Linked DNA regions of Macaca mulatta. The protein of the gene in region 1 interacts with the protein of each later gene in a pairwise test. Links are inferred from orthologs where the notes say so. Each region holds a gene or a part of one and is shown in the gene's direction. Other genes may lie near its edges. The genes, in order: BICD2, RAB6A, SNW1, PRPF31 and MFAP1.

Evidence for each region.
Region 2: the proteins of BICD2 (region 1) and RAB6A interact in binary tests that used the Homo sapiens proteins (3 or more experiments, as listed by UniProt). The link is inferred for Macaca mulatta from reciprocal best matches to the Homo sapiens genes BICD2 and RAB6A.
Region 3: the proteins of BICD2 (region 1) and SNW1 interact in binary tests that used the Homo sapiens proteins (3 or more experiments, as listed by UniProt). The link is inferred for Macaca mulatta from reciprocal best matches to the Homo sapiens genes BICD2 and SNW1.
Region 4: the proteins of BICD2 (region 1) and PRPF31 interact in binary tests that used the Homo sapiens proteins (3 or more experiments, as listed by UniProt). The link is inferred for Macaca mulatta from reciprocal best matches to the Homo sapiens genes BICD2 and PRPF31.
Region 5: the proteins of BICD2 (region 1) and MFAP1 interact in binary tests that used the Homo sapiens proteins (3 or more experiments, as listed by UniProt). The link is inferred for Macaca mulatta from reciprocal best matches to the Homo sapiens genes BICD2 and MFAP1.

Annotation. Positions count from the first base shown.
Region 1 is NC_133420.1:123,434,285-123,440,063, reverse strand, and holds the end of BICD2 (protein bicaudal D homolog 2), read left to right. Parts: coding exon 1-963; intron 964-1,550; coding exon 1,551-1,702; intron 1,703-4,029; coding exon 4,030-4,339; 3' UTR 4,340-5,460; downstream 5,461-5,779. UniProt on the Homo sapiens protein: Acts as an adapter protein linking the dynein motor complex to various cargos and converts dynein from a non-processive to a highly processive motor in the presence of dynactin.
Region 2 is NC_133419.1:74,146,925-74,153,194, reverse strand, and holds the start of RAB6A (ras-related protein Rab-6A), read left to right. Parts: upstream 1-2,184; 5' UTR 2,185-2,586; coding exon 2,587-2,656; exon of another isoform or gene 2,657-2,925; intron 2,926-6,270. UniProt on the Homo sapiens protein: The small GTPases Rab are key regulators of intracellular membrane trafficking, from the formation of transport vesicles to their fusion with membranes.
Region 3 is NC_133412.1:150,953,971-150,959,749, reverse strand, and holds part of SNW1 (SNW domain-containing protein 1), read left to right. Parts: intron 1-1,052; coding exon 1,053-1,157; intron 1,158-2,099; coding exon 2,100-2,169; intron 2,170-3,119; coding exon 3,120-3,185; intron 3,186-5,554; coding exon 5,555-5,671; intron 5,672-5,779. UniProt on the Homo sapiens protein: Involved in pre-mRNA splicing as component of the spliceosome. As a component of the minor spliceosome, involved in the splicing of U12-type introns in pre-mRNAs.
Region 4 is NC_133424.1:66,349,877-66,355,655, forward strand, and holds part of PRPF31 (U4/U6 small nuclear ribonucleoprotein Prp31), read left to right. Parts: intron 1-942; coding exon 943-1,026; intron 1,027-1,622; exon of another isoform or gene 1,623-1,627; coding exon 1,628-1,725; exon of another isoform or gene 1,726-1,812; intron 1,813-1,914; exon of another isoform or gene 1,915-2,543; coding exon 2,544-2,650; exon of another isoform or gene 2,651-2,849; coding exon 2,850-3,019; exon of another isoform or gene 3,020-3,314; intron 3,315-3,591; coding exon 3,592-3,749; intron 3,750-3,912; exon of another isoform or gene 3,913-4,365; intron 4,366-4,824; exon of another isoform or gene 4,825-4,949; intron 4,950-5,779. UniProt on the Homo sapiens protein: Involved in pre-mRNA splicing as component of the spliceosome. Required for the assembly of the U4/U5/U6 tri-snRNP complex, one of the building blocks of the spliceosome.
Region 5 is NC_133412.1:21,194,280-21,200,058, reverse strand, and holds part of MFAP1 (microfibrillar-associated protein 1), read left to right. Parts: intron 1-1,955; coding exon 1,956-2,085; intron 2,086-2,344; coding exon 2,345-2,532; intron 2,533-3,674; coding exon 3,675-3,783; intron 3,784-4,203; coding exon 4,204-4,364; intron 4,365-5,779. UniProt on the Homo sapiens protein: Involved in pre-mRNA splicing as a component of the spliceosome.

The DNA of each region.
Region 1 (5,779 bases):
GAACAGCAGGAGAAGGTGACCCGCCTCACAGAGAATCTGAGTGCCCTGCGGCGCCTGCAGGCCGGCAAGGAGCGGCAGACGGCCCTGGACAATGAGAAGGACCGTGACAGCCATGAGGACGGCGACTACTACGAGGTGGACATCAACGGGCCCGAGATCTTGGCCTGCAAGTACCACGTGGCCGTGGCTGAGGCTGGTGAGCTCCGTGAGCAGCTCAAGGTGCTGCGCAGCACGCACGAGGCTCGTGAGGCCCAGCATGCCGAGGAGAAGGGCCGCTACGAGGCTGAGGGCCAGGCGCTCATGGAAAAGGTCTCCCTGCTGGAGAAGGCCAGCCGCCAGGACCGCGAGCTACTGGCCCGGCTGGAGAAGGAGCTGAAGAAGGTGAGCGACGTCGCTGGTGAGACGCAGGGCAGCCTGAGTGTGGCCCAGGATGAGCTGGTGACCTTCAGTGAGGAGCTGGCCAATCTCTACCACCATGTGTGCATGTGCAACAATGAGACGCCCAACCGTGTCATGCTGGACTACTACCGCGAGGGCCAGGGCGGAGCCGGCCGCACCAGCCCCGGGGGCCGCACCAGCCCTGAGGGGCGCGGCCGCCGCTCACCCATCCTCCTACCCAAGGGGCTGCTGGCTCCTGAGGCCGGCCGAGCCGATGGCGGGAGCGGGGACAGTAGCCCCTCACCTGGCTCCTCACTGCCGTCACCCCTGAGTGACCCACGCCGGGAGCCCATGAACATCTACAACCTGATTGCTATCATCCGCGACCAGATCAAGCACCTGCAGGCAGCCGTGGACCGCACCACGGAGCTGTCACGCCAGCGCATTGCTTCTCAGGAGCTGGGCCCTGCTGTGGACAAGGACAAGGAGGCGCTCATGGAGGAGATCCTCAAGCTGAAGTCGCTGCTCAGCACCAAGCGGGAGCAGATCACCACGCTGCGCACTGTGCTCAAGGCCAACAAGCAGGTGAGACGCCAGGCGGCAGGGCCACTTGTCACCCACTGCTGGCCTCAGGGTGTTTCCCTTTGGCCTCCTTCCTACCCCTGCCACGGGGCCCCCCAGGCCTGCGTCACCACCAGGCAAAGCCAGCCCACAGTAGCTTGGCCGCCTGCCCTCCCCTGCTCAGGGCCCCCAGCTGGGAGGGTGGAGCAGGCAGGTGGGCGTGAGGGCCCCTCAGCAGAGCCGCTCAGCCAGTGAGAAATGCCGCTGCCATTCACTCACTGTGACTGCCTCATAGTGCTTCCTGATGCTGGCGGGAAAACGTGTGAGAGCCGTAGTCTGAGCTGTGGAGAGTGATTGTGGGGCTTTGTGGGGGTCCCGTAGGCAGGTTTGGGGGCAGTCCCTCCTCTGCCAGTCAGAATCAGCAGGTGGGACTCCCCATGGCGTAGCTGCTGGAGTCCATCCCCAGGGTTTGTCAGAGGGAGGGGCCTCCCAGGAGCTCTCTTCCCAGGCACCGCCACCACTTCAGACCAGGACTCCCCGTCCTACTCCCAGAGCACCTCTAGGATGACTTCACGCCTCTCACTTTTCTACCCTACACATCTGTACCCCAGACAGCCGAGGTGGCCCTTGCCAACCTGAAGAGCAAGTATGAGAATGAGAAGGCCATGGTTACCGAGACCATGATGAAGCTGCGCAATGAGCTCAAGGCCCTCAAGGAGGACGCAGCCACCTTCTCCTCGCTGCGTGCCATGTTTGCCACCAGGTAACCGTGCTGCTGTCGGGCCCTCCCCTTCCCTGAGGCCAGCTGTCCTCAGCACTTGCTCTGAAACCCTTAGCCTCTCACTGCCTTATACTGAGGCCTGCAGCCCTGCCTAGTCAGTGGCTGTGCCCAGCTCCATTGGGGCCAACATGGTACAAGGTTGGGGAAGCATGGCCCCTGGCACATCTCTGGCATACTGGTGCTCAAGTTGGTGACAAGAAAGGGTGAGGCGATATGGGGGCCACATGGGGTTGGTTTCCTCCGAGGTCACCTCAGTTTCCTTCGAGGTCACGCAAGCAGGTGCTGGAGCGTAGCGCATGCCTGGCAGGTGACCACATGTGGCCGGGGATGGCAGAGCGTGTGTGATCCTTTTTCTGTTCCTTTCACACCTAGCCCAGCCCCCAGGAGCCTGGTTCTGTGGCGCTGATTCGATTTTGCTGTGATTGAAAGCACAGCAGGCCCAGGCTTGCCTCTGCTTTGCATATATGGAGACTGAGGGCAGAGGGGCTGAGGAGAGCAGATCCTGGAGTGGATGGGCCAGAGTTGCGGAGCTTCAGGGGGTGCTTGGGCTCCCACCCCTTGGATCCAACATTTCCAGGGACTTACTTGGGGCCAACAGGTGACAGAGGAGTCCTGGCCTTTTCTCTCATGAGGTATTCGCCCCCAAGAACTTGGCCATATGGCACAAGTATGCATTTATGTTTGTAGAATCAGAAGGAGGATTACCCTCCTGGCTGGAGCAGGTCACTGCTGGGGTCCACAGTTCGGGTCCCACCTCTGTGCATAGCCCTGTACCTCTGCGTCATTGTGACCACTGGGTACTCACCTCCCATCCTCCACTTTGCCAATCTGGGGAAGGTGAGGAGAGGGCCTTGGGGCTTGGAGGAGACTAGCTTTCCTTCCTCCTCTGTGGTGGGTCTCTTAGTAGTGGGCTCTGGGTGGGCTGCCCCTGGTGGGTGCACACCCCTCCCTGGCTGGGAGTCAGACCCCAAGGCTGGGAATCGAGGCTCCCTAGGTGTTCATGGGCCTCTGTGGGGCAGGTCCTGGTTCCAGCATCTTCCCAGGTGCTCCCTGACAGGTGCCCCCATCTGTCTTTCATCTTCCAGAGATGGGTAGTGCCACCTGCTGGGTCATATTGGGATAGCACCATGGGGCCAGCCCTGCATGGGGGACAGCCAGGCCCACCATGGGCGCAGCAGATAACCTAGATGTTTCCTTTTTGTGGGTGAGCAAGCTGAGGATCTGAGCTGGACAGGGTGGGAACTGCACATAGGGCCTGCTTCTCTCAAGCCTGGTGCCAGGCACTCCCAGTTTCTCGGTATCCCTGCAGGCCCTGCCAGGGCGGGGTATGGACTAGGAAGAGGCCCAAGGTTTCTCTGGAAGCGTCTTGTCTTTCTGGGGCTTGGGAAAAAATTCCACAGTTTCTCAGCATCTGGCATGTAAACCCTACCTTTTAAAATTTGTTTTATTTTAAAAGTTAACTTTTCAGATGGAGCCAAGATTTTGAACCTGCAAGGATCACAGCTCAGTGTGTGTCCTCAAAAGGGTGGGCAGCAGAGCCCTTGGAGAGGGTGCTATCCAAGGGCCAGTTCCTGGCAGGTGGGGACAGGCAGGGTGGGGTGCGTGTGGGCAGGGTGGGGCTGCGCTCAGTGCCTGCACAGCCTTACCACCCTGGGAGCCCCGGGGTTTAACCCGCCCTGTGTCTCTACCAAGCCCCACCCATATGGGACATGTGGAGGAAGGGCATCCAGGGACACATCACACCCTCCCACAGCTCCGCACCGGGTTTTGGGATGAAGCTATCGATGGCATCCACACACATGGTTCCTTGGCTCCGGTCAGTGCTCAGCACAGACTGACGAAGCATCGACCTTGGGAACAAGCCCAGTCCTGCTTAGGTTTACGTCCACACCCTAGAAGCCATGGCATCTCCATGTCTTGATGCCCCAGGCCACCTCGAGGCCTTTTAAGTGGGGAGCGCACCTCCTAGAAGCAGCCCAGTCACTGAGGGGCATAGCCTCTCTGTAAGCACTACATGCTGCTGAATGAGCACAGCAGCCCCTCCCCTACAAAACCACAAAACTCAAGCCAGCCTCATAGGGCTGCCCTGCCTGGGCCCAAGCCTCCCTCTCACCCTTATCAGGGATTTGTCCGAGCAAAGCCTGTGCTAAAATAAGCCAGAATAATTCTCCCCCACCCCCACCCTCCAGTCCAGAGGCCACACCGAAGGATGGCTCTGGTGCAGGCCTCTCAAAGGGCTGCACAGGCCCTGCCCTGCTCTCCTCTGCTCGGCTCTGCCCACTCCTCAGTCATGTTTTTGGTACCCACAGGTGTGACGAGTACATCACACAACTGGATGAGATGCAGCGGCAGCTGGCGGCCGCCGAGGACGAGAAGAAGACGCTGAACTCGCTGCTGCGCATGGCCATCCAGCAGAAGCTGGCACTGACCCAGCGGCTGGAGCTGCTCGAGCTGGACCATGAGCAGACGCGGCGTGGCCGCACCAAAGCTGCCCCGAAGGCCAAGCCAGCCACCCCGAGCGTAAGTCACGCCTGCGCCTGTGCCAGCGACAGGGCCGAGGGCACCGGGCTGGCCAACCAGGTGTTCTGCAGCGAGAAGCACAGCATTTACTGTGATTAGGGGCTGTGGGGCGCCGCACGCTGCAGCTAACATCTGCTTCACCTCAACTAACCCAGCAGCAGCGGGACAGCGGCGCTAGGTCAATCTTAACGTGACTAATGCACAGAGGGTAGGATTCTAGCCGAGGCGCCATGGGGCGTGTGCATCAGCAGGACACTTGTGAGAGCTTTGTGTCGCTTCTCACTCCTCAAAGCCCCCTCAGGAGCACCCAGTCCTCAGCTGCTCTCGTAGGTGGGGGTCAGAGGTGGGGATAGAGCTGCACATTCTTGCAGCAGATGTGTGATGAAAGCATCTTCTAAGCCCTGGGCACCCTTGGGGAAACCCAAGGGAAGGAGTCCTGGTCCTGCTCCCTCAGCACCCAAATGGGGCAGAACCTGAGTTGAAACTTGCATGTTCCTCGCATGTGTCTAACGTCAGCGCTAGAAAGCAGTTTTAGGAGGTTCCAGCTTGCCGTATAGGTACTGCTTCAGAGGACGGCTCTGCACTTGGCATAGTTTCATGGAAAGGATTATGTTGTAGTTTATGCACTATCTCACTGCAAATCATATTCAGTACAGAAGTGCAGAATTTCTTCCCCAAGCCCAGAGAAGAGCAGCCCTGAGCCCCTGTATTCTGCTGGCCAGACACACATGGCAGAGACACAGCTGACCATAACCCAGGAATCCAGAGCTCGGTTTTACATTTCTGAGATCAGGATGCTTGTCTAGTGGCCTGTGAGGTGACAAATGGGCAGGGCCCAAGGCCCCAGGTTTTCATTTTTCATGAGAAAAGCTGTCCAAGTGCCTGGCCAGACCTTGGTCCTCAGTGCAGAGCCTGTCCTTTTGTACTTGGGGTGACCTCAGCAGCCAATTATCTGGCTGTCCTTAGGGGGTTCAGTCCCAAAGACATGGGGCTTTGAAAACCCTAGCCTGAAGTCTGAGCCACCAGGGGCTTGGCTGGGTTGGACACCCACAGTTGTAGCCAGAGCCTAGCCTGGTGCTGGGAAAGCTTTGCATGGGGCCAGGGCCAATTGTCAGGATTCACAGGTAGGAGATGTTTAGGTCTCTTTATTTAGTGCAATTTGGGGAATGGCAACAGAGAAAGAGGAAAGGTAGCTGTAGGGCTCTCCCATTTCCAGAGGCTCCATCCACACCAGAGCTTTGGCATCAGGCCGCCTGCCTTCCCACATTCTGAGCAGAACTTTTCTCAGTATTTTTCTCCCGATCACCCCGTGGAACCAGCTGGACTTGAGGCTGCAGTCTTCTCCCCTGCAGGCTGCTTGCCTTGTCTCTCATGCGGAAGAGGCATTCGAGTTACCTGGTGAGAGACCGTGTTGCCCCCTCCCACAGCTGTCTACCCTGCGTGCTCTTCCCTTTGGTGCCGAGTATGTCTCGGTCCTCTCCAGACTCCAGGACAGGCCCATGTTATGTTCCCTGCGTGTTCATCCTGGGCCCAGATCCC
Region 2 (6,270 bases), on another chromosome or scaffold:
TGCATAATCTTTTTAAAAAGTTTCTTGGTTTAAGCTGCTCTTTGTATGTGCCAGGGTTCTGGGTTAATGGTGGAGAGGACCCTATTAGACCTGACAAACTACTTGTAAAATCAAACGTCCATGCCACAAGCCAGGTTTTTACCATTTTATTTTAGATGCATGTTCTAAATGCATTTTATTTTAGATGCACGTGGCTGGGAGAGGAACCAGAAGGGAGTAAATTTTGATAGAGATGGTTTGAGGATATAGCTGTTGTCTTGATAAGCCAGACTAGATGATATTTTAAGCACTCCCTGTAATTTATTCTAGGTCACCAATTCATCCCTGGGCCTGAGAAGGCACTTTTTCGATCCTGTCGTTTCTACAGCTAAGCAAATAACTCCCCAATAATGAGAAAATGTACATAAATGTTTTTGTGGATGACATAAGATACTATACACAAATGTAAGGACTTTTTTTATTATTCACTTAGAAAGTTTTTTTTTTTTTTTTTTTTTTTTGTTTGTTTTTTTTTTTAAGACAGGGACTTGTTCTATCACCCAGATTTCAGTGCAGTGGTGCCATACTTCAGCCTCCAACTCCTGGACTCAAGCAATCCTTCTGCCTCAGGCTCCTGAGTAGCTGGAACTACAGGGGCACACCACGACATTCGGCTAATTATTTTATTTTTTGTAGACCAGGCTTTGTTGCCCAGCCTGGTCTCGAACGCCTGGGCTCAAGCGATTCTACCGCCTCGGCCTCCCAAAGTGCTGAGATTACAGGTGTGAGCCACCGCGCCCAGCCGCTTTATGGAATTTTTTTTTTTTTTTTTTTTTTTTTGAGACAGAGTCTTGCTCTTGTTGCCCAGGCTGGAGTGCAGCGGTGTGACTTTGGCTCACTGCAACCTCCGCCTCCCGGGTTCAAGGATTCTCCTGCCTGAGCCTTCCGAGTAGCTGGGATTACAGGCACCCACCATCACACTACGTTAATTTTTTGTATTTTTAGTAGAGATGGGGTTTCATCATGTTGGCCAAGGCTGGTCTGGAACTCTTGACGTCAGGTGATCCACCCAACTCAGCCTTCAAAGTGCTGCGATTACAGGCATGAGCCATCACGCCCGGCTTTTTTTTTTTTTTTTTTTTTTTGAGATGGATTCTCGCTCTGTCGCCAGGCTGGAGTGCCATGGTGCGATCTCGACTCACTGCAACCTCTGCCTCCCGGGTTCAAGGTATTCTCCTGCTTCAGCCTCCCGAGTAGCTGGGGCTACAGGTGCGTGCCACCACGCCCAACTAATTTTTCTATTTTTGGTAGAGACAGGGTTTCACCATGTTGGCCAGGATGTTCTTGATCTCTTGACCTCGTGATCCACTCGCCTCCGCCTCCCAAAGTGCTGGGATTACAGACGTGGGCCACCGCGCCCGGCCTGCTTTACGGATTTTGCAAGTCATTTTCTCTCTCTAGGCTTCAGTTTCCTCATCTGCAAAATTGGGAGGCCCTGATTCTGACAGTTATAAAATTCCTGGGAGCAATGGAAGATAATGTTATTTAGTAAGATGCTGTGAGAGGAATTATGATGAGAGGGTGAAGAAGGTGGGGTGGGTGCACGGGTGAAGAACGGATCTGAGGACTGTGAGGCACGGCTGAGGGCTCAGGAAAGAGGCACCTCTTACAAATTTTAAGGCTATAGGACCACCCACACTTTTTGGGGGATCATATTCCACCTTTATCCCGGCCCCGCCTCCGCCCCACCCTTCTCCCCTCCCCTTCCTTCCCCTCCTGTCCCATAAGACTGAGAAGCGCCACACTTCGTATGGCCGCCACACTGGTCCGCTTTCCACTGCTCTAGGGTTGCGCGCGCTCTCACGCTGCCACCTCACTCGCGTGTCTGCTCGCCCTCGGCCCCTTCCGATTGGCTCATTACGTAAGTGACGTAAGGGCTCCAGCCTCCTCCTAACTTATCCCTGGCTTGCCCCGCCTCCTCCTGGCTTCTTCTGGCGCAAGTGGAAACCTAACCTGCCCCGTCGCCGCCGTGCGGGAGGAGCCAGTAGAGCTGTCCAAACCAGGAAGGCGATAGCTATGGCGGTGGCGCGCACGCACGCACGCACGCCAGCGGCCGGCGGGGCCGCAGGCTCGCGCCCGGGCTCGCCCCGCGCCGCGCCAGAGGCTCGCGCACTCAGCAGGTTGGGCTGCGGCGGCGGCGGCAGCTGTGGAAGCTGAGGCGCTGCGCGTGAGAGGTCCCAGATACGTCTGCGGTTCCGGCTCCGCCACCCTCTGCCTCTCTCCCCCAGGTGTCGGAGTTGAGTGCGGAAGGAGGGAACTGCCCTAGCCTAGGGAAACCAGAGCACACCCCTGGCTCCTGCCGACACCGCCCTCTCCTTCCCAGCCGCGGGCCTCGCTCGGTGCTAGGCTACTCTGCCGGGAGGCGGCGGCGGCTGCCAGTCTGTGGAGAGTCCTGCTGCCCTCCAACCGGGCTCCTCCACCGGGCCTTGCAGGGGCCGAGAGAGCTCGGCGCCCGCCCTTCCGCTCGCCTTTTTCGTCAGCCGTCTGGAGCAGCATCGGTCCGGGAGGTCTCTGGGCTGAGGCGGCGGCAGCTCCTCTAGTTCCACCATGTCCGCGGGCGGAGACTTCGGGAATCCGCTGAGGAAATTCAAGCTGGTGTTCCTGGGGGAGCAAAGCGGTGAGTACGTGGCTCCCCCACTCCTGGCAGCTGGCCCCAGCGTCCCCGCACCGCCCCCGGTGCGGCCCTTCCGTCCGCGGAGGCTCCCAGCCCGCCTAGCGTCCGCGCTCGTTGCCACTGCAGCCCTTCCCGATGTGCCCCCCGGTGCCACTGGCTCTCCGCCTGGATCTGTCGGCCGAGATTTTACCCTGTTCCCCGGGTTCTTCAATCCTTGACTCGCCGTCTCCGTTCCCCGCAGTCCGGCCGTCTCCGGTCGATCTGCCCCCCCTCCTCAGCCCTCACCCCGCCCAGCCTCTTGTCCATCCCTTTCTTCCTCCGGTCTCCGTCGTTTCCCCTACCCCAGTACCCTTTCTTGAGCCCCACCCTTATTCCTTGCTCTTTTCCCAGTTCCTCAGCTCTGTGAGGCCCACTCAGGGAAGCCCTACTCCTGAGAACGGGCCCTCTTCAACCTTGGCCAAGGAGGGTGGGATCTGGGCGTTGTTTTCCCCAGAGGCTTGGCCCTGAGAAGTGCTGATGTCGTCGAAGGTGGGAAGGGGTGGTCGTAGAAAAAATTATTAAATGGTTTTCACCTGGGTGGGAAATTAGTCGGGCCATAGAGGAAACATCTGAATTGGAGACGACTTGAGCATGGGGTGGTTGGGGGTGAAAGGGGTAGCGTCGGCAGTGGAGATTTTTGCCCTTTAGGTTAGATGGGGCTGTGGCTTGTCGGAAAACCTCATTTTGTTCTGTTGACTTCCATCACTGACAATTCTTTTGGCAGTGTTGATGATTTTTCAATCTCTGCCAGATGCTATGTCATGATCATTTTACTTGGAATATTTCTCATCTCACCTACCCTTTTTCTCTTTTCAACATGAAGCAGCGTTTGAGTCTCATGGTGGTACAAACGGGAATTACTGGGGAAATGTTAATTATTCATTTCTTGAGTATTTTCCAATGATATATTGAGGATTCATGTGAGAGAAGGCTTGGAATAACAAACATCTTTGTTTTGTCAAATTTCCTTTGGAAAATGGAGTAGAGTAGAAATAAACTCATCTAGTTATCTAAATTAGATTTAAATACCATTTGGGCTAAATAATTCTTTTATGCTTCATATTCCGTACTATCTGATGAGTGAAATTGTTATGTCATTTACCTGGTCAGGTTCTGCTGTCACTGTACTTCCGTATTAGATACAAGATCCTAATTTTGTGATGGTCGTTTCTACGATTACTTCTTGTAGTAATTTCAGTTTTATGCTGTATTATACAAACTTGACACTCGACAATTCAGGGACGATTACCCTCCTTTGTTTTTCTCACACTTTGCATGACCGTCTTTAAAATTCAGACATTGAGAGACTAGTTCTGAGTCATCAAACATTGAGTACCTACTAGGTGTTTTAGGTGAGGTTATAGAAAACATTAATTGTTTGTTTTGACTAGAAGGCATATAAGTGATATAAACTCATAGCTTTTATTACTACTTTGAACTATTTATACTGATTTGTATGCCATTACAGAGGTTAATACCCTTGCAAAATTGCCTCCCGTTAGAACTGGGAAATCATTTTTCTCCTTTCATATGTAGATTATCTTCCCCTCCTCCCTTTTGAGGGTAAAAATACGATCTCCTTGCTTTTCGCTTACATATTTTCCTGAGGTAAGTATAAACTTGTGTCTTTAGGTGAGTAACTTGGTAGAACCTATGGAGTTGATCCTGGTCCAGCTTTTATATGTCAATTTCAGGATAGTTCCCAAACATAAAATAAAGCTTATTGATCATTATTGGTAAAAAGGATCCAAAGTGCTTATTGTGCATTCTAAGGATATTATTGCCTTTCTTACGTTGTGATGCACAGCTATTTAGTTTGCATGAAAAAACTCATTCATCTCCCTGTCTAAAAATATTTTAGCATGAAAGGAGTGCTTAACTTCCTAAGTATCTTCAGGTTTCCTTTGAATTTCTTGAGTATTTGTATATGTTCTAATTCATAATGGAGAGTTTTATGGCTTCTAATTTCGTACCTTGTTTAAGCCTCTACTACCCTCCTCCCTCCATTACTGAAGCCTGGTTAGATTTTTTTTTTTTTTTAATAGACTTCATTTTTTAGAACAGTTTTAGACTTACAGAAAAATCGAAAAGATAGTGCAGAGTTCCCATATATCCACACATCTAGTTTCCCCTGTTATTAACATCTTGTATTAGTGTGGCACATTTGTTACAATTAATGAACTAATATTGATATGTTATTATTAACTCAAGTCCATAGTTTATTTAGATTTTTAGTTTTAACCTAATGTCCTTTTTCTGTTTCAGCATTCAATTCAGGATGTCAAGTTAATTATCTTTTGAAGTTACTATATTGCCAAGTAATGCCATTCAGTAGCTTTGACAATGAAAGATTGATCTCTGTTTTCATGGTTAGTGTCTATAGTTTTCTTATGCATTAGTAGAGGTCTGTAGACTCCATGTCGTTTGGATGTAACTCTTCATGAATTACTTATTTTTAGGTCTGTTAGAATTCCACAATTCAGCTTTCAAAGACTGTAATCTGTGGCAAGTCTTGTTTTTTCCTTAATAGCATTTACCACCTTTATAATTATCTTATTTTTTGTGTGTTTGTTTTTATTTCCCACAGAAGAATGCAACTCCCATGAAGATAAAAACTGTTACCTTTTTTGTTCAGTGTATCCCCATTGCCTAGCATAGAGCCAGGCTCATAGTAGCTGCTTAGACATGTTGGGTGAATGAATGGTGGCTGAATCTAATAGTAATGAAAGCTAGTAGCCTATATTACACTCTTTGACGTGGTGAAGTTCACATTTTTTCCGTATGCAATTGATAGTTTAACAATAACACTTAAAACTTACATCATTTGATTGTATACAGGAATCTATCAGATACTTAAGTGGGTAGAGAAACCAATCATTTAAAGGCCCAACCATTTCATTCAAAAAATAGGACTGACCTGAATTTTGTACTTTTTTGTTTTTGAGTTGAGCAGAATTAGTCTTCCTTTGTTAAAGTTGTTGTTAAATTATTAATATAACACATGAAAAGTATTCAAATTATACTAATGATGTGCTCATGTGCTTATGGAACTGATCTGAAATTAGGTTTTATTTGGCTTGTCAAAAATTTAAGATACTAGGGTGGGTGCGGTGGTTCATGCCTGTAATTCCAGCACTTTGGGAGGCTGAGATGGGTGAATCATCTGAGGTCAGCAGTTCAAGACCAGCCTGGCCAACATGGTGGAGGCCCACCCCCCTACCCCCCGGCCTGGTCTCTACAAAAATACAAAAATTAGCCAGGCATGATGGTGAGTGCCTATAATCCAGCTACTCAGGAGGCTGAGGCAGGAGAATCGCTTGAACCCAGGAGGCGGAGGGTGCAGTGAGCCGAGATCATGCCATTGCACTCCAGCCTGGGCGACAGAGTGAGACTCTGCCTCAAGGAAAAGAAATATATATATATATGTATGTGTGTATATTTAAGATACTATGCTCTATGATGAAAATGAATTACGTCAGTACATGAAGCAGATTGAGTTAATGCCATCAATCTTAACCTTGGATAAATTCTTATGGTTTAATAAGGGAATGTTTGGCCGGGCGTGGGGGCTCACACCT
Region 3 (5,779 bases), on another chromosome or scaffold:
TTCACCATGTTGGCCAGGCTGGTCTCGAACTTCTGACCTCAAATAATCCATCGTCCTCAACCTCCCAAAGTGCCGGGATTATAGGCGTGAGCCACTGTGCCCAGCCTATGCTCTTTTCTTTCTTTCATTTTTTTTTTTTGAGATGGAGTTTTGCTCTGTCACGCAGTCTCACTCTTTCACGCAGGCTAGAATGCAATGGCACGATCTTGGTTCACTGTAACCTCTGCTTCCTGGGTTCAAGCGATTCTCCTGCCTCAGCCTCCTGAGTAGCTGGGATTACAGGCTTGCACCACCATGCTTAGCTAATTTTTGTATTTTTAGTAGAGACAGGGTTTCACCACGTTGGCCAGGCTGGTCTCAAACTCCTGACCTCAGATGATCCGCCCACCTCGCCCTCGCAAAGTGCTGGGATTGCAGGCATGAGCCACCCGGCCTGGCCCTATGCTATTTTCAAATTATATTTTTTATTTTTAGAAATTAACAATTACTTGTGGTATATGACCTAAATCACAATTATTATTTATAGGTAATAGATATCTTTATAATACTTCTAAATTTTGAGACGTTTCACTTGACTAAAGCTGCATAGAGAGATGAATTACATACAGATATTAAGGGAAAATTCAGAGTTGGTAGGGCTTCTGTCATTATTTTTTCTCTGTTTTATAACCTATGATTAATCAAAAACTGCTAACTGTAAGTTGCCTGCTGGGATTATTATGAGTATTTTTTCCTCAGATGCAGGCATACCAAATAGGTACTATTTTCTAGACTGCTTGTCTGTGAAACTGAACTCTGCACCTTCCATGTTGGAAAACATATGAGGATGGGTTATTTGCAAACTAATACCACTCAAGTTTTTTACTGTAACTCGTAATTTATGTTCTTTTATCCCTCTTGCTGTCTGCTTTGTCTAAATATTGTGTTAATTTTCTGTTAATACTTTGCGAAAGGAATTGAAAATGTAGTCCAGCTTAAGATTGTAATAGAAGGAAAATACCTACTGAAAGCTTGAACTAATTACACCTTTAGTTTTTATCTGCTTTCTTCAGATATACACCATCTCAGCAAGGAGTGGCATTCAACTCTGGAGCTAAACAGAGGGTTATTCGGATGGTAGAAATGCAGAAAGATCCAATGGAGCCTCCAAGGTTCAAGTAAGTAAAAAGGAATAGGCTACTAATACACACAATAACATGGATGAATCTCAAAACGATTATGCTGAGTGAAAGAAGCCAGATGAAAACAAGTACATACAGTATGATTCCATTTATATAAAACTCCAGGAAATGCAAACTAACCTGTAGTTACAGAAGGATCGGTGGTTGCCTCTGGGGAAGGAGGTAGGGACAGAGAGGAGATGAGAGGGACAAGAGGAATAGGCAAGGGGCAAGCAGAAACTTTTGGGGATGATAGACATGTTCACTATCTTGCTTGTGATGATGATTTCACAGGTGCATATTTGTGTCAAAATTTAATCAAATTATATACTTTAAATATGTATAGCTAATAAATGTCAATTATCTCAATAAACTTGCCTTTTTTTTTTTTTTGAGACAGAGTCTTACTCTGTCACCCAGGCTAGAGTGCAGTGGCGCCATGTCAGCTCACTGCAAGCTCCGCCTCCTGGGTTCATGCCATTCTCCTGCCTTGGCTTCCCGAATAGCTGGGACTACAGGCACCTGTCACCACGCCCAGCTAATTTTTTGTATTTTTAGTAGAGACGGGGTTTCACCGTGTTAGCCAGGATGGTCTCGATCTCCTGACCTCAGGCGATCTGCCCACCTCGGCCTCCCTAAGTGCTGTAATTACAGGTGTGAGCCACCGCACCCAGCCTCAAGCTGCTTTTTAAAATGGAAAAAAAGTATATTACTCTGCAAAATGACAGTAATGTTGTGGAGGTGGGGTGAGTAACGATTTCAAAGTTGGCCAAGTTTTATTCATTTTAGAAGTGGAGTGGTAAGTGTATATCATTATACAATCTCTGTTTTTGTCTATGTTTGAAACTTTTATGCAAGAAAAAGGAGGGGAGACTTGGTATGATGACTAAAAGGGAGGAAACTATATCACTGTGTGGTTGTGTTTGATTTATACTTCAGGATTAATAAGAAAATTCCCCGGGGACCACCTTCTCCTCCTGCACCTGTCATGCATTCTCCTAGCCGAAAGGTATTCTTTGCTGTAGTCCACAATCTTTTTTTCTACTTATGGTTATTAATTTTATAGATAACTTCCCTATGCCTGTACAGGTGCATGTCACCACATTGACTTGTAGTTTCTTTTTTTATTTTTCAAGATGAAGTTTCAAGAATGCTTATGAGAATGTATATAACATGTTAGCTATACGTTTTGTTATTAGTAACCCAAACCCTACTTTTAATGGAATGGACAGGGTCTGCTGTTTCAGTTAAAGGATGTTATTGGAAATGAATATATGGGTTTATTAGGTCCCTGATAATTTGAGTGACTTTTTAAGATATATTTTATTAATCAAAAGAACAATTTTTCATCCAAAAGAAGTCACATTGGCCAGGCATGGTGGCTCACGCCTGTAATCCCAGCACTTTGGGAGGCCGAGGCGGACGGATCACCTGAGGTCAGGAGCTCAAGACCAGCCTGACCAACATGGAGAAACCCCGTCTCTACTTAAAAAAAAAAAAAAAAAAAAAAAGTTAGCCGGGCGTGGTGGCGCATGCCTATAATCCCAGCTACTTGGGAGGCTGAGGCAGGAGAATCACTTGAACCCAGGAGGTGGAGGTTGTGGTGAGCTGAGATCACACCATTGCACTCCAGCCTGGGCAACAAAAGCGAAACTCCGTCTCAATAAAATAAAAAAGAAAAAAGAAGTCGCATCGCTTTAAATATGGAAAAATACTAGCCAACATTTGTAACTGTCAAGAATAATTTCTAGATTATTTTCCATTTTTCCCAGTAGTTCAAAGTTATTACTAGAATTATATGGTAAACTAGTGCTAGCAAACAAATGGACTGTTGGCCTTTTACTATGTCTGTGCATATGTCAGTGTATATGGAGCTATCTTTGGAGATAAAGATTATACTTAAGATTTACTTTGTAGACTATAAATCTAAACCTGTCTCTTCTTTCACTCTTCTCTCAGATGACTGTAAAGGAACAACAAGAGTGGAAGATTCCTCCTTGTATTTCTAACTGGAAAAATGCAAAGGTAATTAAGTTGTCAAATCAGTCTCTGTTAGTATTATAACCTACTGGAAAATACCAATAAAACAACTACAGCCTGCGTAACTGTAGTTGAAACAACACATGGCTTAACTGAGTATTTTCAAAAAGGAATGCCCAATTTGGTGACTTTTTTAATGTAATAGAAATGTTAGTGTGCCAGGCACATGAATACCGTGTCAGTTCTTTTTTTTTTCTTTTTTTTTTGAGATGGAGTCTCACTTTGTCACTAGGCTGGAGTACAGTGGCATGATCTCAGCTCACTGCAACCTCCGCCTCCCAGGTTGCAGCGATTGCCTTGCCCCAGCCTCCTGAGTAACTGGGACTACAGGCGCATGCCACCACGCCCGGCTAATTTTTTGTATTTTAGTAGAAATGGAGTTTCACCCTGTTGGCCAGATGGTCTTGATCTCCTGACCTTGTGATCCGCTGGCCTTGGCCAACCAAAGGGCTGGGATTGCAGGTGTGAGCCACCGCATCTGGCCCCATATCAGTTCTTTTAGTGAATTGTAGCTAGCAGAAACATAGAGAAGGAATAAGTATAATAAAGTGCCATATAAATACAAGATGGTATTTAGAAAACTCAAATTTATGTCTAAAAATTGTTTCCAAAAGAAAGTAAACTGGTGTAAAAGATTATATGACAAGAACAGAGTAAATGTTTGCATACTTTAAGTGCTTTTATATTCAACTACTTGGCTCTGTAGTAGTGAAGGCTTAAGCTATATGTCTCTAATAATCGCCAAAGTTTCTAGGAGTTGTTAAGAATCTGTTGATTGTGGGATAGGTTCCCTAATTACTCTTTCCTCTTCCCTGAATCATAGTTCATGGTTTTACTTTTGATGGATAAAGAAGGCCATTTCAGGTTTCTTAAGAGAATTTATGTACTCACCCTAAACAAAGAGGTTGTTGACTGGTCTGATTCGAGTTCATGAATATTATGTAACTGGATGGTATCTTGAGCTGGTTCTGTAACGCTTCATTTTTATGAGACCATGGACTTAAAGGTCAACATTTGAGAGACTAGTCAGGTATCTGGAAAATAAAACTAAGCCTGAAAGTTACATAGATATTCAAGTATAGTTCTTGAGTTATTGAAATGGGATGCAAAGTTTTAGAATGTAGAATGTCAGTGGTTTAGCAAACGGTTTTTTTCTTTTTTCTTTTTCTTTTCTTTTCTTTTTTTTTTTTTTTTTTTTTTGAGACAGGGTCTCGCTCTGTTGCCCAGGCTGGAGTACAGTGGTATGATCATGGCTCACTGCAGCCTAAACCTCCCACACTCAGGCATTCCTCCCACCTCAGCCTCCCAAGTAGTTGGGACCACAAGTGTGCCCCACCGTACCTGGCTACTTTTTTGTATTTTTGGTAGAGACAGGGTTTCACCATGTTGCCAGGCTGGTCTTGAACTCCTGGGCTCAAGCAGTCTACCTGCCTTGGCCTCCCAAAGTGTTGGGATTACAGGCTTGAGCTACTGCACCCAGCCTTTTTTTTTCTATTTACTAAAACTTCAGGGTTCTAAGAATATAACAGATCATTAAGAGAGTACAGCAGATTTAACTTCCTATAGATGCTAAGATTATAGTGATTTATTCTGCCTTTGTTTGACTGTTACATTTATTTGAGGAGCAACTGTTGAACTGTTTGACACTGATTTCCTTTTATTAAAATCCACAATTATCAGCACAAGTATCTATTTTTCCAGAGGTTGGGTTCTGAAATCCTACTGTCTGAGTTTAAATCCTAGTCCTCCACTTATTTTAACGGTATGACCTTGGGGATGTTACCAAAGCATCAGTGAAATGGACACAATGTTAGAAGCTTTATAGAGTTATTATGAAGGTTAAATGAGACCATAGATGTGTTTGATCTTCTGCATAAAGCACTCATTGATAGCTGCTGTTATTTTGCGTCGTTGTGAAGAAAGATATAAGGAAAAAGAACCCCAGTTAAGTTTAAGTGGGTCCTAAAATGTGGGCATATTTTAATTTAATTTTAGCCAGGCTTGATGGCTCGTGCCTGTAATCCCAGCACTTTGGGAGGCTAAGGGTGGATCACCTGAGGTCAGGAATTCAAAACCACCCTGGCCAACATGGTGAAACTCCGTCTCTACTAAAAATACAAAAACTAGCTGAGTGTAGTGGCACACGCCTATAGTCCCAGCTAGTTGGGAGGCTGAGGTAGGAGACTCACTTGAACCCAGGAGACAGAAGTTGCATTGAGCCAAGATGGCACCCCTGCACTCCAGCCAGGGTGACAGAGCCAAGACTCCAGCTCGAAAAAAATTAAATTAATTTAACTTCAAATAATTAATTGAAGCACTTCTGTGACTGGGTTTTCTGTCTGCTTTCACCCTAGGGTTATACAATTCCATTAGACAAACGTCTGGCTGCTGATGGAAGAGGACTACAGACAGTACACATAAATGAAAATTTCGCCAAACTGGCAGAAGCCCTCTACATTGCTGATCGGAAGGTTGGTTGGTTATAATTTGTTTAATGCTCTTGTTACTTTTAAAATCCATTCTTGGTTACCTAAGGTACTGATAATTTAACTATAGTACCAAGCACCCAGAGAGAGTCT
Region 4 (5,779 bases), on another chromosome or scaffold:
GAACAGCATATGCAAAGGCCAAGAGGGGCCTTGCATGGTGGCTCATGCCTGTCGTCCCAGCACTGGGTGGCCAAGGCTGGTGGATCACCTGAGGTCGGGAGTTCGAGATCAGCCTGCCCAACATGGTGAAACCCCATCTCTACTAAAAATACAAAACAAGTTAGCGGGGCATGGTGGCGGGCGCCTGTAATCCCAACTACTTGGGAGGCTGAGGCAGGAGAATCACTTGAACCCAGGAGGCGGAGGTTGCAGTGAGCTGAGATCGTGCCACTACACTCTAGCCTGGGCAACAAGAGTGATACTCCATCTCAAAAAAAAAAGGCCAGGAGGAGTGGGTGTCTGGGGCACTGTGACCAGTCCTTTATGGCTGGATGAGAGGATGGGGTGGGAAGGGTGGGAGGCCAGACCGCAGAGTTGCTGAGTCAGCAGAGAGGAACTGGGCAGCTCCCTGTGTGCCAGGTGCTGTCCTGAGTACTCGGGTGTGGGTGTAGATAACGCAGGCACAGCACTGGTCCCTGCAGAGCTTCTGGAGTTGGGCAGGCCTTGAATGTCAGTCTAGGGACTTGGTCATTAGCCTTGGGGCTATGGGGAGCCATAGGAGGTTTCAGACGGACGGTCAGTTCCAGGGCAGGTAGGGTCAAGTCTAGACTGGTGTGGAGGGAGAGGGATTGGAGGCAGGAACACAAGTTCAGGGATGTCTGCAGATGTCAGCCTGTCGCCTGCTTTACTCTTCAACCCCTCCTTCCTGACCCCCTCCAGCCTCGTCCTCCGCCTCCTCCAGCTGCAGGATCTGGGAGGCAGACGTCAGCCTGTCCCTGGTTTACTCTTCAGCCCCTCCTTCCTGACCCTTCCCAGCCTCATCCTCCGTCTCCCCCAGCTGTGGGACCTGAGAAGGGGTAGGGATTTATATCCTCACACCCATGCCACTCCGTGTCCTCACAGTGATGGGACCGGTGGAGGCAGCGCCTGAATACCGCGTCATCGTGGATGCCAACAACCTGACCGTGGAGATCGAAAACGAGCTGAGTGAGTGCTGGGGGCAGGCGGAGACAGCCCCCTGTGACGCCCCTCATGCCCCCTCCCTTCCCCACGGGCCTTTCCCAGGGTCCTGCCGCTGAGCCCAAGCTCAGATCGAGGTTCACCTGCTGTAACGGAGTGGTGTAAGTAAGAAGGAAGTGTGTTCTCCCTCACGTATGAGTCTGAGCGAGCACTCGGGGACGGCGTGGCTCCCTCGCGTATGAGTCTGAGCGAGCACTCGGGGACGGCGTGGCCGCTTGGCTGCCCGTAAGGCCCCAGCCCTTTCCATCTTGTTGGTCGGCCACCTGCCTCGTGGTGCGAGGGGACTGCCCCACGTCCAGCCGTCGCCTCTGCATTCCCACCAGCAAGGCACTTCTTTTTTTTAAGAACATGTCACTGCAGCTCACATTTTACAGACCAGAACTAATTCCCCTGGTCACACCTAGCGGTAAGGGCGGCTGAAAAATGGAGCCTGTATGCTGGTGCCCGTATGCCAGGCTACAAGCCAGGGCTTCAGTTACTAAAGGAAGAAGGGGACGTGGGTGTTAGGGCCAACCAGCAGAGTCTGCCTCCCGTCTCACCTGACACCCGCCTGTCCCGTTTACCCTAGACATCATCCATAAGTTCATCCGGGATAAGTACTCGAAGAGATTCCCTGAACTGGAGTCCTTGGTCCCCAATGCACTGGATTACATCCGCACGGTCAAGGTGAGAGCAGAGGAGGAGCGGTGCTTCTGCTGGTGTGAAGGTGCAGGCAGGGCTCACTCTTGGACCCGCCCCCAGAGGCCTCGGGGTCTGGAGGTGAAGGAGAGGAGTGGACGGAGGCTCAGTGGCCTGCTCTGCCCAGGGTGAGAGGGACGGAGCCTGGATGGGACTTTCTCAGGGCTCCCCTCGTACCCCAGTCTCCCGAGAGGGCTTCCCCGCTGGCCTGACCCGCGCTGCTTCCGCTGTGGTCGGAGCCGGTGGCATTGGAGTTGACATCCGAAGGTCGTCACAGGGCAGGCACGCGGAGATTTGGGGGAGAGAGATGTGTTAAGTATGGAGAGCCGGAGAGGGAACAAGCGGGGAGGAAGTGAGGCGGGGAAGGAGGGGACGCGGAAGAGGTCGGATCACACTGAGCCTTTGGGTCTTATGAGAAAGCCAAGGAAGGGTTTCGGAAAAGAGGGGCGGATGCAGGTGAGGGCAGGGAGAGGAGGCGGTCCCCACGTGTGTCCGGGAAAGGATCAGGATGGTGGTGGGGGAAGCCCCCGCAGGGAAGCGAGGCCGCGGGTTTGTGCTCCGACTCGACACAGGCAGAGGCTTGTGAGGCCGCGGTCTTCCCAGACGCTGCTCTGCCCAGGTTCCGTTTCCAAAGCAGAGCAGACGGTGTGGATGCTTCAGGCGGTGGAGGCAGGAGAGGCCCCCAGTGTAGAGACCCTGACTTTCCCAGTGTCCCCGAGAAGAGACCCGAGTAGGTGCAGGGCCAGAGAGGCTCTCAAGCCTTCCTGAGTTCCTGAGCCTCCCCTGTCTTCTCTGCTCGCGCCCAGGAGCTGGGCAACAGCCTGGACAAGTGCAAGAACAATGAGAACCTGCAGCAGATCCTCACCAACGCCACCATCATGGTCGTCAGCGTCACCGCCTCCACCACCCAGGGGTATGTCCGCTGGAGGGAGGCGCCGGGCCCGGGCCAGTGGGACTGGGGATTAGGCTGAAGCTACCCACGCAGGTGGGCATACACACACACGCACACACACACACACACACACACGTGCACACACACACAACTGAGAGGGTGGGTGCTGGGCACCAAGCAGGCGGGAGACCCAGGAGGCTGGGCCCACCCGCCCCTGCAGGCAGCAGCTGTCGGAGGAGGAGCTGGAGCGGCTGGAGGAGGCCTGTGACATGGCGCTGGAGCTGAACGCCTCCAAGCACCGCATCTACGAGTACGTGGAGTCCCGGATGTCCTTCATCGCGCCCAACCTCTCCATCATTATTGGGGCGTCCACGGCCGCCAAGATCATGGGTGAGGCCCTGGGCTGGGTCCCATGGAGCGGGACTCTGCTGACACTGTGATCTGGGGGAAGCTGCTTCCCTTTTCTGTAGAATGGGGACTTTGGCACCTGGGCCTCAACACCCCGTCTCCCTGGACGTGACAGAGGTCAGCCAGCCTGGCACACAGCAAAGCCTCGTCTGGGAGAAACACTCACCCACAGCTCCTCCTCCCTCCCCTGTGCCGGAAAGCCAGAGATGACCACACCCAGGCCCTGTTGTCAGGGGGCTCCTGGTTTGGTGAAAATGGTTCCAAAACACAGACATCCCTGGAATGGGGGTAGTGTGGCTTAGCACAAACGTGGTGGTCAGTTGCCTGTTGGGGGCCTCCTCCCTGCACCCCAGGCCAGCTGCCCTCCCTCTCTGAGCCTCCTTTGCGTCTGCCCCTCGCGGAATGGGCCAGGTCGCCCGCCTGGCAGGGCCACCGAGGAATCCAGCCAGAACCTCACGTAAAGGTGCTTGGCACATGTCGAGCCCCCAGGCAGATGTGCGCACCCCCGCCTCCCCCGCTTTCTTCTGACCGCCCCTGTCCTCCTCCCACCGCAGGCGTGGCCGGCGGCCTGACCAACCTCTCCAAGATGCCCGCCTGCAACATCATGCTGCTCGGGGCCCAGCGCAAGACGCTGTCGGGCTTCTCGTCTACCTCAGTGCTGCCCCACACCGGCTACATCTACCACAGTGACATTGTGCAGTCCCTGCCCCCGGTGAGCCCACCGCGTCACAGCCCCTCCCCCGGCTCCCCTGGAGCCTTCCGCCTGCCCAGACGGCCTGAGCAGCCACCCCCACCATCTGGCCCAGCTGACAGTAGCACTCAGGAGCCGGGGACAGGGTAGCATGGGATGTGAGAGCCAGGGTTCTGCAGCACACCTGTCGGGTGACTGTGGGCAAGAGGCGTGAGTGCCCTGTGCCTCAGTCTCCTCCCCTCGAAAATGGGAGCACAGCGCCTGCTTCACGAGTTGGGGCGAGGGCTCCATGTAGACGAGGCCCTCACAAGGCAGGCCTAGCTCACGACAAGCAGCGTCGGGTTAGCAGCTGCTCCGAAGGCCACCGTCACTGGAAAGACACGGAACCCCTGAGGGCTGCTGTGCTGGGGACTGTATAACAGATTAACATTAGCCACAGGGAGAGACACACAGGAGGAGCAGGAGAGGTCACCAACCTCGGAGGGCGATGTGTCCTCTCCCCGCAGTCAGGACACATCACCCTCCCGGCATCGATGCCTGACAGCACACACAGGGCCGCCAGCCTCACACCCGTAATCCCAGCACTTTGCGAGGCCGAGGCGGGAGCATCACTTGAGGCCAGAAGTTGAAGACTAACCTGGGCAACATAGTGAGACCCCGACTCTTTTTTTTGTCTTGATTCCAATGGGATTGGAAACACCCTGTCTCTACAAGAATAAAAAACCCGGTGTGGCAGCGCTTGCCTGTCATCCCAGCTACTTGGGAGGCTGAGATGGGAGGATACTTTGCGCCCGGGAGGCGGAGGTTGCAGCGAGCCAAGATTGCACCACTGCACTTAAGCCTGGGCCAGGGACGCTTGCCTGGGCCGTGGTGTTCAGTCTTTATTGTGGCTCTGCTGTGTAGACACGACTGTGTTGCCGTGTGGCTGGTCTGTCTCCAGGTCAGGTGATGCCCCATAACTCAGAGCCCCCACGCTGAACCACGTGGTTGGGCTTTCCTGCGTGGCCAGCCCCAGGCACCCTAAACCACACTGTGGCTACCCCAGGGCCCCAGCCAGCAAGGACCGCCACCCAGGACCCCCGGGCAAAGGCCAAACCTCTTCCTGGGCAAGGCGAAATTCTCTGCCACGCGGAGCCGCTGCCAGTGTTATTCCTGTGACTGTCATCTTCAGTATCATTTGATTCTGTGGCAGCGAGTTTCACATCATCCTCCTGATGTCTCCTAGAACACAGGTCATCTCCCTTCAGTGGCACAGACCATGAATTTCAGTGACACAAAGACGGTGGTTTTTATTTTAATCACTGCATACTTATTTTTATTGAATAATCTCCCATTCGTGGTAATGAAATTAAGCTGTCTAAACAGGTTTGCAGTTTTTAAAAGCAGACTAAAAGAAAACATTGACGACTGGTTATCATCAGAAGGCATTTTAGTCATAGCAGTGGTGGGAAAACGCGCAACAAGCAGAGCTGGCTGTGAGTGGAGCTTTGGAAACATTTGGTGATCTCATTGAGTCCTCACAACTCTCTCTTTTTTTTTTTTTTTTTTTTTTGAGACGGAGTCTCGCTCTGTCGCCCAGGCTGGAGTGCAGTGGCACGATCTCGGCTCACGGCAAGCTCTGCCTCCCGGGTTCACGCCATTCTCCTGACTCAGCCTCCGAGTAGCTGGGACTACAGGTGCGCACCACTACGCCCGGCTAATTTTTTGTATTGTTAGTAGAGACGGAGTTTCACTGTGTTAGCCAGGATGGTCTCGATCTCCTGACCTCATGATCCGCCCGCCTCGGCCTCCCAAAGTGCTGGGATGACAGGCTTGAGCCACCGCGCCCGGCGAGTCCTCACAACTCTCTTTTTTTTTTTTTTTTTTGAGACGGAGTCTCGCTCTGCCGCCCAGGCTGGAGTGCAGTGGCCGGATCTCAGCTCACTGCAAGCTCCGCCTCCCGGGTTGCCACCATTCTCCTGCCTCAGCCTCCCGAGTAGCTGGGACTACAGGCGCCCGCCACCTCGCCCGGCTAATTTCTTTGCATTTTTTAGTAGAGACGGGGTTTCACT
Region 5 (5,779 bases), on another chromosome or scaffold:
GAAACTAAGAGCACAAAGGGGCTAAGAAAGTTACATGACCAAAGTTACAAAGTGGCAGCTTCAGAAAACAGCAGGTTACTTCTGGCCTAAAGGACCTACTCAACTCCTTACGGGAATAGAAAACACAGACCATTCGTTGGCTGTTGAGGGGAGTCTTTTTAGCACAAAGATGTTTTATAAACTTTGGTAAATTGATTTTATACATCTGCTTATTCTAAATGCTAATAAGGGGAAATGACACTGAAGCAGGAGAAAAGACCTCATAAAGGTCTCATTGTAGAAAGTCTCCCAGTGAGGGATTTTGTATGTTATATACTGATTGAGACATTACCTTAATAGAGCAGACCAGGGGTCCTGAACTTTCACCGTTCATAATTGTCCCAGGGGTTTTTTCACAGAGCTCCTGGGCCAAAACAGTTCTGTTTATTTTAGTTAGTAAGTAGTTAGAGCCAAGTAACTTAATAAGTATTTATGTCCTAATAACTTTGCCACTTGAAAATTACAGTGCCCATGGCCGGGCGCAGTGGCTCACACCTGTAATCGTAGCACTTTGGGAGGCCGAGGCAGGTGGATCACGAGGTCAGGAGTTCAAGACCAGCCTGGCCAACTTGGTGAAACCCCATCTCAACTAAAAATACAAAAAAATTAGCCAGGCATGGCAGTGGGCACCTGTAATCCCAGCTACTTTGGGAGACTGAGGCAGAGAATTGCTTGAACTTGGCAGGCGGAGGTTGCAGTGAGCCGAGATCATGCCACTGCACTCCAGCCTGAGTGACAGAGTGAGACTCCGTCTCAAAAAAGAAAAAAGAAAAAATAAATAAAATTACAGTGCCCATGGGGAAAAAAACACTTTTATTCATTCTCACATAACCACAGTTACTAGTGGAATTTGTGTGCCTATTGGACACTGACAGCCTTGCAGACCTTGGAATCAGCACTGTCACTTTTTCATGTCTTGTTTTATATTGATATTCACACTGTACTTTTTACCACAGCAGCCACCAAAACCCAATTTCACGAAGATACGATATTCTCAAAAGGAATGTAATATGACTTAATGTTGAAACTGAATTACCTTGAGCTATTGAAAATATCCCAATGCAGGCCACGCTCGGTGGCTCACGCCTGTAATCCCAGCACTTTGGGAGGCCAAGGCAGGCGATCACCTGAGGTCAGGAGTTCAAGACTAGCCTGGCCAACATGACGAAACCCCCTCTCTAGTAAAAATACAAAAATTAGCCGGGTGTGGTGGTGCACGCCTGTAATCCCAGCTACTCAAGAGGCTGAGGCAGGGAGAATCGCTTGAACCTGGGAGGGGGAGGTTGTGGTGAGCCGAGATCACGCCATTGCTCTCCAGCCTGGGTAACAGAGTGAGATTCTGTCTCAAAAAAAAATCCCAATGCATCCCTATGAGTTTGCTGGCTTGCTGTGGTGCCTTAGGATGCCTCAACATACGTTTAGTATTTCAGGCCAAACTTGGCTATTTGCTCTGATATCCTAGTCTAGTTCCTTTAATCTGCACCTCAGTTTCCCCCACCTCAATACTTTAATATTGGATGGACATGGTGGCTCACATCTGTAATCCCAGCACTTTGAGAGGCTAAGGCGGGCAGATTGCCTAAGTCCAGGAGTTGAAGACCAGCCTGGGCAACATGGTAAAACCCCGTCTCTACAAAAAATACAAAAATTAGTCATGTGTGCTGGCATGCCTATAGTCCCAGCTACTCAGGAGGCTGAGGTGGGAGGATCACTTGAGCCTGGGAGGCAGAGGTTGCAGTGAGCCAAGATCGCACCACTGCACTGCAGCCTGGGTGACAGAGCAAGACCCTGCCTCAAAAAAAAAGACTTCAGTATTAATGAAGGCAAACATAATGTACTGTGTGGCTGTGGAAATGCGGTTGATGCTAGTTCATTTTTATGACATTGGTGTTACATTTGGAGATACTGTTTATCAGATTGGCTCGACATCGGAAAATAGTGGAACCTGAAGTGGTAGGAGAGAGTGACTCAGAAGTAGAAGGAGATGCTTGGCGCATGGAACGAGAAGATAGCAGTGAAGAAGAGGAAGAGGAGATTGATGATGAGGTATGATAAAGGAACATGGGAAGTTTTTTTCTGGATATAAGAAAAAGTTGACGCCTGTGCTCATTTGTTGAAGCCTTAAAAACATGAGATCACTGCTTTTGGCAGGACTCTGATCATGTTCCTTGTTTGTTGGGATAGGACTAAAAATAGAATGGTACTAAGTTGTATTTTTTTACATTTGAATTTGTTGGGTTTGATGAGACTAAAACAAAAAGCCATAGGCCATTTGACTGACCGGCTTACATATATGACTTCACAGGAAATAGAACGGCGGCGTGGCATGATGCGTCAGCGAGCACAGGAGAGAAAAAATGAAGAGATGGAAGTCATGGAAGTGGAAGATGAGGGACGTTCTGGAGAGGAGTCAGAATCAGAGTCTGAGTATGAAGAGTACACAGACAGTGAAGATGAGATGGAGCCTCGCCTTAAGCCAGTCTTCATTCGAAAGTAAGTATCTCACGAGCCAGATCTGAATCCACTTAATTACCACTTTCCAGGCGTGGAAACAAAAGTCTGTTTTCTGTTGTGCTATTCTGAAATCTAAGCACTGAGTGAAAGTGCTTTTGCTAGTGCTGTAGCCTTGCCAGACGAGCTGCTGAGGAGTATCTTGGTGTTAGCAGAGAACCTGAGTTTGTTTTCACATCTCTTTTTTTCAGTTATAGAGCATATATCTGTCCAAGGCCTTTTTTTTTTCTTTCTTTCTTTCTGAGACGGAGTGTTGCTCTTGTTGCCCAGGCTGGAGTGCAATGGCGTCATGTCTGCTCACCACAACCTCCAACTCCCGATTTCAAGCGATTCACCTGCCTCAGCCTCCCTAGTAGCTGGGATTACAGGCATGCACCACAACGTCTGGCTAATTTTGTATTTTTAGTATAGAGGGGGTTTCACCATGTTGGTCAGGCTGGTCTCGAACTCCTGACCTCAGGTGATCCGCCCTCCTCAGCCTCCCAAAGTGCTGGGATTACAGGCATGAGCCCCCGCGCCCAGCCAAGGCCATATATTTTTAAACACAAAATTAAACTCAACAAGCAGATTCCTATTCCTTTCTTGATGGCTAGAAATCCTCCTACTTACAGGCCAGCAGGTTCTTTGCTGTCCAGGCAGTTCTCAAAGATGAACATGATTTTAGTGCTCCAAAGACCTGGGATGATGGCTGGGCACAGTGGCTCATGCCTGTAATTCCAGCACTTTGGGAGGCTGAGGCAGGTGGATCACGAGGTCAGGAGTTCAAGACCAGCCTGGCCAAGATGGTGAAACCCCATCTCTACTAAAAATACAAAGAAATTAACCAGGTGTGGTGGCAGGCGCCTGTAATCCCAGCTACTCGGGAGGCTGAGGCAAAGAATTGCTTGAACCCAGGAGGCAGAGGTTGCAGTGAGCTGAGATCACACCACTGCACAGGAGACAGAGTGAGACTCCATCTCAAAAAAAAAAAAAAAAAGACCTGGGATGACTCAACGTTTTTTGCTCTTTGAAAATAATAGAGCCAAAGAGTTTGGTTTCGTCTCATTTGGATGGGACTAGGTCTAGGGGAACAAAGCACTCCACTCTAAGGACTTTAGGCAATTAACAGGACCTCTGTGATGCAGGAAGGACCGAGTGACAGTTCAAGAACGTGAAGCTGAAGCATTGAAACAGAAGGAGCTGGAGCAGGAAGCAAAACGCCTGGCAGAGGAGAGGCGCAAGTACACACTCAAGGTACTGGGGAGTTGGCCGGGCGCGGTGGCTCAAGCCTGTAATCCCAGCACTTTGGGAGGCTGAGGCGGGTGGATCACGAGGTCAGGAGATCGAGACTATCCTGGCTAACACGGTGAAACCCCGTCTCTACTAAAAATACAAAAAAAAAAACTAGCCGGGCGTGGTGGCGGGCGCCTGTAGTCTCAGCTACTCGGGAGGCTGAGGCGGGAGAATGGCATGAACCCGGGAGGCGGAGCTTGCAGTGAGCCGAGATCACGCCACTGCACTCCAGCCTGGGAGACACAGCGAGACTCCGTCTCAAAAAAAAAAAAAAAAAAGGTACTGGGGAGTGGTTCCAAGGATTGAGTACAAGAAAATAGTGTAATCAGGTTTGTCTGAGGAGAGTAAGGAAGTCCAAGCCGAATTGTTCTCCCTATCCAGATTGTCGAAGAGGAAACCAAGAAAGAGCTGGAAGAGAACAAGCGATCCTTGGCTGCACTGGATGCACTCAATACTGATGATGAAAATGACGAGGAGGAATATGAGGCATGGAAAGTTCGGGAGCTAAAAAGAATCAAGAGGGACAGAGAAGATCGAGAAGCGTGAGTAAAAAGATGAGCCTAGAGTTAATGCTGCTAGTGGAACAGGTTTCTAGTAGGATAGCTCTGAGACTCATTACCTACTGTGAGTTCCATTCTGGCCATCTTCAGAGTTCTTGCTGCTGGGTGAGTTTCCTATAATTGGAATGTGAGTTTCACTTGTTACAGTGAAATCAGGGAAGAGAAACACACTTTGTCGATGTGTGTCCATAATAGAGTGCCAGCCAGTGCTCCCTTTAGTTTCCTAGTAGACACAAAAATTAGTAACTGTTAGCAGTTATCTCTTACTGTGTACAACCCAACCCACAATTGAGTGACTTGAAAAAACAATTACTTTTCACAATTTTGGAGGTTGGCTGAACAGTTCCTCTACTGATTTCACGTGGGCTCACTTATGTTGTTGTATCCAGCTAGACAGTTGACTGGGCTAGAAACTTAAAAGGGCTTCACTCACATGTCTAGTAGTAGGTGGTGGCTATCAGTTAGGATGCCTCACTTATCCTTCATTGGGTTAGACTGCCTTCCTTACATAGTAGTCTCGGTACCATTCTAAGAGGGCAAGGTCTTCTGACACTTAGGTTCCAGAACTCATACATCAATCCTGCCACATATTGGTCAAAGCAAGTCACAAGGCCGACCTAGCTTTAAGCAGGTGGAGAAACAGACTCCACCTCTGGATAGGAGAAGCAGCAAAGTCATACTTTTTGAAAAGGGGCATGCATACTGTGAGGGGAAGCATTTGTGGCACTTAAGTAACCTACACTATGTTAGAGCAGAATCTTTTTTTTTTTTTTTTTGAGATGGAGTTTTGCTTTTCACTCAGGCTAGAGTGAAGTGTCACAATCTCAGCTCACTGTGGCCTCCGCCTCCTGGGTTCAAGCGATTCTCCTGCCTCAGCCTCCCAAGTAGCTGGGATTACAGGCATGTGCCACCACACCTGGCTAATTTTTGTATTTTTAGTAGAGACAGGGTTTCACCATGTTGGTCAGGCTGGTCTCGAACTCATGACCTCAGGTTATCCACCTGCCTCGGCCTCTCAAAGTGCTTGGATTACGGCGTGAGCCACCACGCCCGGCCCAAGCAGAATCATTTCTGAGCTGCATCACTCATTCCTATAAATTATTAGGTATAAGAGGGTAATCCCGGATTACAAAGGAAACCATCAATAGATAACTCTAGGCTGGGCGTGGTGGCTCACGCCGTAATCCGAGCACTTTGGGAGGCTGAGGCAGGCGAATCACTTTAGGCTGGGAGTTCGAGACCAGCCTGGCCAACATGGTGAAAACCTCTCTCTACTAAAATACAAAAATTAGCCGGGTGTGGTGGTGTTTGCATGTTATTCCCGGCTACTTGGAAGGTGGAGGCAAGAGAATCGCTTGAACCCAGGAGGCAGAGGTTGCAGTGAGCTGAGATAGCGC